Mus musculus: one gene and its partner. The protein of the gene in region 1 purifies or fractionates together with the protein of each later gene. This does not show direct contact. Links are inferred from orthologs where the notes say so. Each region holds a gene or a part of one and is shown on either strand. Other genes may lie near its edges.

Region 1 (3,747 bases):
CTTCCGAGTGCTGGGATTAAAGGCGTGAGCCACCACGCCCGGCTCGCATCCAGTACTGTTAACCGCTGAGACATCTCTTCGGTCCCTGAAATTTGTATTTTTATATCTAACTAAGTAAAGGAAATTTGATAAAAGAAACACTCATAATTACAAGAATTTTTCTCTAGGAAAAAGATCGTTGCTTTGTTTTAAAATATGGTGACATGGGGGTGGAAGACGGTGTATTTCCTTTTGATCACTGCCTTTGAACATACTCGTATGTAATATACCATATACTTGACATAGGGTGGTGGGGAAGATCGGCTCCAGTTCTGGCTTAGTAAAATCCGAACAAAGAACTCTCTAAGAAAAGGTTTCTATTTTCTACGCAGGGCTGACTTATTTTGCTTCAGTGTGCACATGGGGGCGGAGGTGATGACTGGCAAACCCCGACTCTCCAAAACCTTAAGCGTAGCTCTCTCTCCAGCTCTGGCTTCTCGGTACACGGAGAGTGGTCCAGAAGCGCTTCTCCCTTCATAGTCTCATATCCCTAGCGAAGTCAGAAACCAATACGACAGAGACATCCGGCGCCAGGGCTGGGCTCCTTTAGGCTCCCCGACCTCACCTTTCTTCTCTCACACCGCCCACGCCCTCCTGCTCGCTCCTCCGCCACCTGCGCGCGCGCCCCAGATCCGGTGCAGCTTCTCGTGCCCGCCTCCCGACGGCTGCCAATCACAGCTTTCTGCAGTTCCCTGGTTACCGAAACAACGGTCCTTGGGCACCTTGGCCACGCCCCTTTGGACCTGCTTCCCGCCTTTCGTGCTTTTCGCCCAATCACTCGCGTCCGAGTGTTCTTTGGTTCCCGCCTCCCCGCCCCCGCCCTCCTGAAGACCCGCCCTTTTTCCGAGGCACGACGGAGTCACCTGACCCGCGGGCGCTCCCTCGGTGGAAAGCAGGAAGGGGCGTGTGCGTGAAGGGGAGGGGCGCAAGAAGAAAGCGGCAGGGATGCCGGGAGTGGGGCGGGGAGAAGGTTTGTCAGTCGGATCTCGCGAGAGAGGACGGAAGCCTGTGGGAGCCCGTGGCCTTTAAAGTGCGATTCAGCCCTCTCCTCCGGGGCTAGTTTGTAAACACGGCCGGCCTCCGGGCTCGCGGGTGGCTGGCAGGACCATGAATTAGTGACCTGGAAAGGTGAGTAATGGTGGAAGGGCCACGGGCTTGGAGGTTGTAGGGATGCAGAGGAAGAAGGTGCTAACATGGCGACGTCGCTGCCTGTAGTCTCCACCCCCCGCCTCCCACCCCTTTTGCGCCCCTGCTGTGGACCCCAACCCTACGGACGGCGGTGGCCGCGTTGCCGCCTCTGGTCTGGCGGAGCGACCGGACCGTTAGGTAACGCGCTGCGGCTCCGGCCGGCCCCTCCCTCGCGCGCTTTCCCAAGCCTGAGCGAGAAGGAATAACGGCTCTTCTCCGACCCCTCCCTCCGACTTCTCCTCTGGTGTGGTCACTTGAGAGGTCCCCGAGGCGCCCTTCGGATCCGCCCATCTGTCGGGGAGACCCCCGCCGCTAGTCCTTGATCGCGCTGCCCAGAGGGCCCACGCTGGGCTCCCCACCGGGGACTCGGGCGATCGAGGGTTTGGGATGGTGCGTTGAAGGATTGGGAAGCAAGGGTCTCTGGCCTCGGTGGAACGTGATGGAGCCAATGGTAATGGAGAACCTGCTGGTGGTCTCGGCCTTTTCTGTCCTTTCTGCCGCCCTCACACTCCCGCCGCCGCCACCCCCCCCTTTCCAGGTGGGGCGGGGCTGAGGTGTGGGTGCAGGTTGATTCTGCTATTCCCCCCCACACCCCATTTACTTCGACCGGTGTTCTGCAGAGCTTTTGTAGGAAAATAATCTGTGCCTTTTATTACCCCAGGGACAAGGAAGAGAGGTAGGGAGAGATGTGTGTATGTCTCCCCGGGATGCTCACTCATTGAACCAGACCTTGGAGGAGATGGGAACTATTTTTATGCACATAGGTATTATAAAATTGTCTCTTCTTTAATGGAGACTCTTAAACTGGGAAGGTCGAGTAAAACTACCACCAGTATAATTGAGTAAAAGGGATACTCATGATAGACTCTAGGCCCATCGACTAATACCTAGTTTACCTTGTGGAAGTCACAGTTTCTTGGGGATTATAAACTAGGGACACGTTCACACCAGATGCAGGTAATGCTGTTTTTAACATCTGACCAAACACGGACTGTTCTGAGCTCAGTTTGTCCTGTTTGAAGAAATTCTTAACCCTTGGCCATTGTCAAGTAATAACCGTTCCAGGAATACTACTCATTTAGCGCCAAATGGCCTGGGTCTCTAGCACCCAAATGGTAAGACTTTATAAAGGCTTATTTTAAAACAGTTAACTCTAGATGAAATAAGAGTCTTGTATTTAAATTTGCTAAACCTATTTGAAGAATCCCTGCAATAAACTTTTTTCAAAAGTATAGAAATATTTTGTAGAGTATGCTAAAAACATATCCTATATAAGCCAAGAAAACTAAGTACATGGATCTTTAAGGCCATCGATAGTTGAGTGATAATTAAGGTTCTAGGTCTTAAAATCATTAATAAATAATTGGAGAGATGTTTAGAGATGTTTTCATGGGTATTTTAAAATTTTAAAGCTATATTGTTTTGAAATGATACTATCCATTAAATATTTCATGACTAACATTAAGTCAAGAAATCTAGGTTTGTTTTTGTTTTTTTTTATTTTTAAGAAAACTTGAAAACTTGAGTTTTAATTATTATCTGTACTCTCCTAATCAATTATATTGCTAGATCTAGTAAATAACTTTACCTTACATGCTGTTTCCACTCATTTTTGACTTTAGTCTCTTCCAAAATGATATGTGTTTCTGTGAACTGGTATCACTTTCTTTTGTTACTCTTATTGAAATGCCCTTAGAAAAGTAAGTCTTATATTTAAAGCAAAATTTGTATTGGAAGCTGGGCGTGGTGGCGCACGCCTTTAATCCCAGGCAGAGGCAGGCGGATTTCTGAGTTCAAGGCTAGCCTGGTCTACAGAGTGAGTTCTAGGACAGCCAGGGCTACCCAGAGAAACCCTGTCTCGAAAACAAAACAAAACAAAAAAATTTGTATTGGAACCCTCCTTGATTAGAAGTCAATGAAAGTAATTAGATAATTCAATGAAAGTGATTGGATGATTCAACTGACCTGTATGAAATTAATACATATAGTACTCCCTGTATTAACTTGTAGCCTACAAAACCACCTGTCATATAGTCAATGGTTTTAACATTTTGTGACTATCTTATATTCACATCTATTTCTATAGACTGAAATCTTGTCTGAAATGGAACATGTTCTATGTTTGTTTTTAAGATTTATTTATTTTTGTGTTTTGCTTGCATATATGTATGTGTACCATTTATGGGCAGTGCCCTTAGAGACCATCTTAAATCCTGAATCTCTAAAACTAGAGTTACATATTATTATGAGCCACCATGTGGGTGCTGGGAACTTATCCCAGCTGCTCTGCAAGAACAACAGGTACTCTTAACTGCTGAGCCATCTCTCCAGCCCTTTGTTTGCTTTTCTACCGTGCTAGGAAAGCTCTTTTTATTTTGTTGTTTCCAGACATGGCTTATCTCTGTAGTTGGCTATCCTGGAACTTGTTTGTAGACCAGGCTGGCCTCCACCTCACAGAGATCCTGCCTACCTCTACCTCCTGACCACTGGGACTAAAAGGTGTGCTCTTTTTTATTGAGA
Region 2 (3,723 bases), on another chromosome or scaffold:
GAGAACACTGGCTGCTCTTTGAGAGGACTTGGGTTTGACTTCCCAGCACCTATAAAGTGGCTCAAAACCATATACAACTCCAGGGGATCTACTGGCTTCCAGAGGAACACATAGCACACAGGCACATTTGAAGGCAAAACATCCATACACATAAAATACTTTTTTAGCCGGGCGTGGTGGAACACACCTTTAATCCCAGCACTCAGGAGGCAGAGGCAGTCGGATTTCTGAGTTCCAGGCCAGCCAGGGCTACACAGAGAAACCGTTTTGAAAAAACAGAAACAAACACCACCCCCCCCCAATTCAATCAAACAAACAAACAAACAAACACCTTTTTCTCACTATAAGCAACAAACTGTACCTGTTCTGTTTTACTGAATTATCAACTGCAAATACACTTAAAAACAAACAAACTTATTTTATAAGCATGGGTGTTTTGCCTGCATGTGTGTAGGGTGTAGGGGTACAGGATTACCCAGGAGCTAGTTACAGGCAGTTGTGAGCTGCCATGAGAATGCTGCGACTTGAACCCAGGTCTTCTTCTGAAGAGCAGCCAGTCTCCCCATTCCTAAAATTTTAAATCTGGCTGAGGTTTTTGTTTTGTTTTTTAGACAGGATTTTAAAGCCCAGGCTGCCTCTGCCTCCTGAGTGCTAAGAAAAAGGCCATAGGTATGTCCTACCATGCTTGACTGAAGTCTGCTTTTCTTTTTTTTAAAGATTTTAATTATTATTACAAATTAAGTACACTGTAGCTGTCTTCAGACACACCAGATGAGGGCATCAGATGTCATCAAGAATGGTTGTGAGCCACCATATGGCCACCAGAACCTGAACTCAGGACCTTTGGAAGAGCAGTCAGTACTCTTACCCACTGAGCATCTTGCCAGCCCTAAAGTCTGCTTTTCAAAATGACACCTTTTTAAACAAAATACACTATCTGAGTACATTTTCTATAAAAACAATTAAGTTCCAAGTAGCAGCTATCATAATATGATGCACAGTTGGGCAGAATCAGGAAGGCAATGAAATGCAGTCCAAATGCATCACCAACAAGATGCTGGAAACGGAGAAGTCCGCAGGCTATGGATGGCTGTCACACACAAGGCAAGGCACTGCCCTCCTAGGACAGGGTCTTCTATAGCCCAGATTGGCCTCAAAACCTGATACATAGCAGAGGGTGACCTTTCTTGAACTTGACTCTCCAGACATCCCCGCTTGCCTCAATTAAGCAGAACCTGCCAACACACCCAGGTCCTCTACAGAGCAGGCTACATCCCTAGCCCAAGGCAAGGTGCTTTTAATAAATCCTACAAAGAAAGCGACTTTCTACGTGAAATATCAAGAGAAGAGATTTGTTTTTGTGGTGATGAGACCTAAAGAAACTGTATTTACTTCAGATCTCACATTAGGATGCAAAAACCCAGAAGCTAGGCTGTGTCCACCACCATTCCTGGCCCAGCAATACCTCTTACTGCCATTCCTTACTGTACCAAGTCCTGTGGTTTTCTTTCCTTCCTGGGTGAGGGGTAGGAGGTTGGTTTGGTCTTTAGAGCCTCTGCCGCCTGAGCTGGGGTTAAAGGCTTGTGCCACTACGCCTGGATCAGGTCCTATTTTAATACATTTGTCTTGCCTGGCTCGTTATCTCTGAATTACTTAACAGCTATGTTTACTAGCCTGCCTGTTTCTCCCAGCTTTAAGCTCTCTAAAGGCAGTGCCTGTCTGCAGTAAAGTGTGCTCAGTGACCAGCAGACTGTCACGAGTGAACAGTAAATATCAATAAATATCAAGTACAGAGACTTCTCAGCTGGTGAGTGAGGAAAAGGCGTCTTAGCTTCCTTCCTTGAAAAAGATGTTGAAGGTCTGGAGAAATGGCTCAACAGTTAAGAGCACTGACTGCTCTTCCAGAGGTCTGAGTTCAATTCCCAGCAACCACATGGTGGCTCACAACCATCTGTAATGAGATCTGACTCCCTCTTCTGGAGTGTCTGAAGACAGCTACAGTGTACTCATATAAGAAAAACAAAAAAACAAACAAAAAATCCTAACATAAGCCGTGTTCGAAGCCAACCTGGACTATGTATGTATGTATGTATGTATGTATGTGTGTGTGTATGTATATATAAATTTATTTAAGGCCAGTTTGGTAAGCCCTGTCTCAGGCAAAACTAAAAACGCTATAATAAACCGGACCCGGCGACCGCGTCTGGAAGTCCTGCACCATGAACTCTTCGCAACAAATCCCGTCTCAAAAAGAAAAGGCGGCTACCGAGACTCTTTTAAGTTTCTATCATAACTTAGGCGGCCAGCGGCGAGACTCCCGGAAGGAGAGGAACGCCGTGCCCCGCCACAGGGCGGGTTGCCTCGGTTTTCCCAGTCATGGAGGCGGGAGCCCAAGGCCGCGGCGTCTGCAGCCTGCCGGAGGCCGCCGCTCGGCTTTTCTTCCCGCCTCCATGCGGCGCGGGCCGAGCCAAGGAGCGCGGGAGGCCCGGGGCGCCTCTCCCAACGCGCCCCGCGGAGGCGAGGGGAGCCTAACGCCCGGGCGCTCGGGACGCGCGCGACCGGAAGCGCGCGGCCGGCCCCACCCCCACCGCGCCCCTCCCCCACCGCCCGCCGAGCCGCGCGCGACCCCCGGCCGGCGCGTGGCCGCCATTGCGTCCCCGCCGGCGCCGCCTTCCCGCCCGGGCCGCCTCGCGCTCCGCCGCGCCCCACTCACCCGCGGGGCCGCCTGGCCGCTGCCCGGGGCAGGAAGCTCCACTCCCCCGTCCCAGGCGGCGCCGACTTTACTCCTCACTTGCCAGCCGCGCACCGCAGCGAGGTGGCGCGCGTCCCAGGGGTCGGCGGGGTGCGGGAGGAGAGCGTAACTCGAGAGCCAACCGTCGCGGCTACCGTTTCCCGGCCGCGAGGGGCGTCGCAGGCGGCATGATCCGCACAGGCCGGGGGCCGGGGCTGGGGGGGGGGGGGGGGGCGGCCGAGGAGTGCGCGGGAGCGTGGGGAGGGGCGTGGCCTGCGCGCCGGCGTGCTGCGTCACCGCGTGGTCACGTGAGCGCCGCCATCTTGGCGAGCTCGGGAGCGCGCGGGCCGCCACGGGGACGCTGGGGGAGCTCCGGGGATCTTGGGGCAATGGCGCGGGGTCCTGACCTCCCTCTCTCGCGGGCGGGACAGCTGACCCTCGGCTACCTGCTCTGTTTAAGTAACTGTAAAACCTTGCGCTGCCATCTTAGTGCTTCGGAAAGGACTTAGCATGTCCTTGTGGGGAGTTGACCTTCATACAGATGCCTTTATCTCAGCCTTGGCAAGGTTCTGCTAGGGCATCATAGCGGTTTGCTCGCTCGCTTGCTTGTTTTTAGCATGCCCTCTACAAAGTGCATTATCAAATGTTTTGAGAAGTTGTATTTGACACCTTCCCTCCTAATAACTGGGTGAGTGAAGACTTTGGTTTTGAGCCTTCAGAACATACGATGTGATGTAAAACTGAAGCGTTTAGAAGGGCTTATTAGACTCCAGGCACCGTGATTCAGCAAATATTGCCCAATAAAGCTAAGGCCGATGACTACCTTTAAATAGAAGTACTCGGGTTTTGACTGATTAGGCTAGTTACCCAACCTCTCTGGAGTCGCTATCAAATTTATGGAAATTGCCAGGCGTGGTCAGCTGTGCCTCTGACCCCAGCACTTTGGGTTGGCAGGCACAGTGCTATCTCTTATCTTCATAGAAAGTTCCAGG

Evidence for each region. The genes of interacting proteins can lie anywhere in the genome.
Region 2: the proteins of Atf2 (region 1) and Atf1 purify together in Homo sapiens (affinity purification with mass spectrometry; 3 studies listed by BioGRID and IntAct, with this or other methods). This does not show direct contact. The link is inferred for Mus musculus from reciprocal best matches to the Homo sapiens genes ATF2 and ATF1.

Annotation. Positions count from the first base shown.
Region 1 is NC_000068.7:73,889,895-73,893,641, reverse strand, and holds the start of Atf2 (cyclic AMP-dependent transcription factor ATF-2), read left to right. Parts: upstream 1-1,002; 5' UTR 1,003-1,167; exon of another isoform or gene 1,168-1,234; intron 1,235-1,282; exon of another isoform or gene 1,283-1,678; intron 1,679-3,747. UniProt on the Homo sapiens protein: Transcriptional activator which regulates the transcription of various genes, including those involved in anti-apoptosis, cell growth, and DNA damage response.
Region 2 is NC_000081.6:100,227,073-100,230,795, reverse strand, and holds the start of Atf1 (cyclic AMP-dependent transcription factor ATF-1), read right to left. Parts: upstream 2,938-3,723; 5' UTR 2,714-2,937; intron 2,570-2,713; exon of another isoform or gene 2,191-2,569; intron 1,929-2,190; exon of another isoform or gene 1,466-1,928; intron 1-1,465.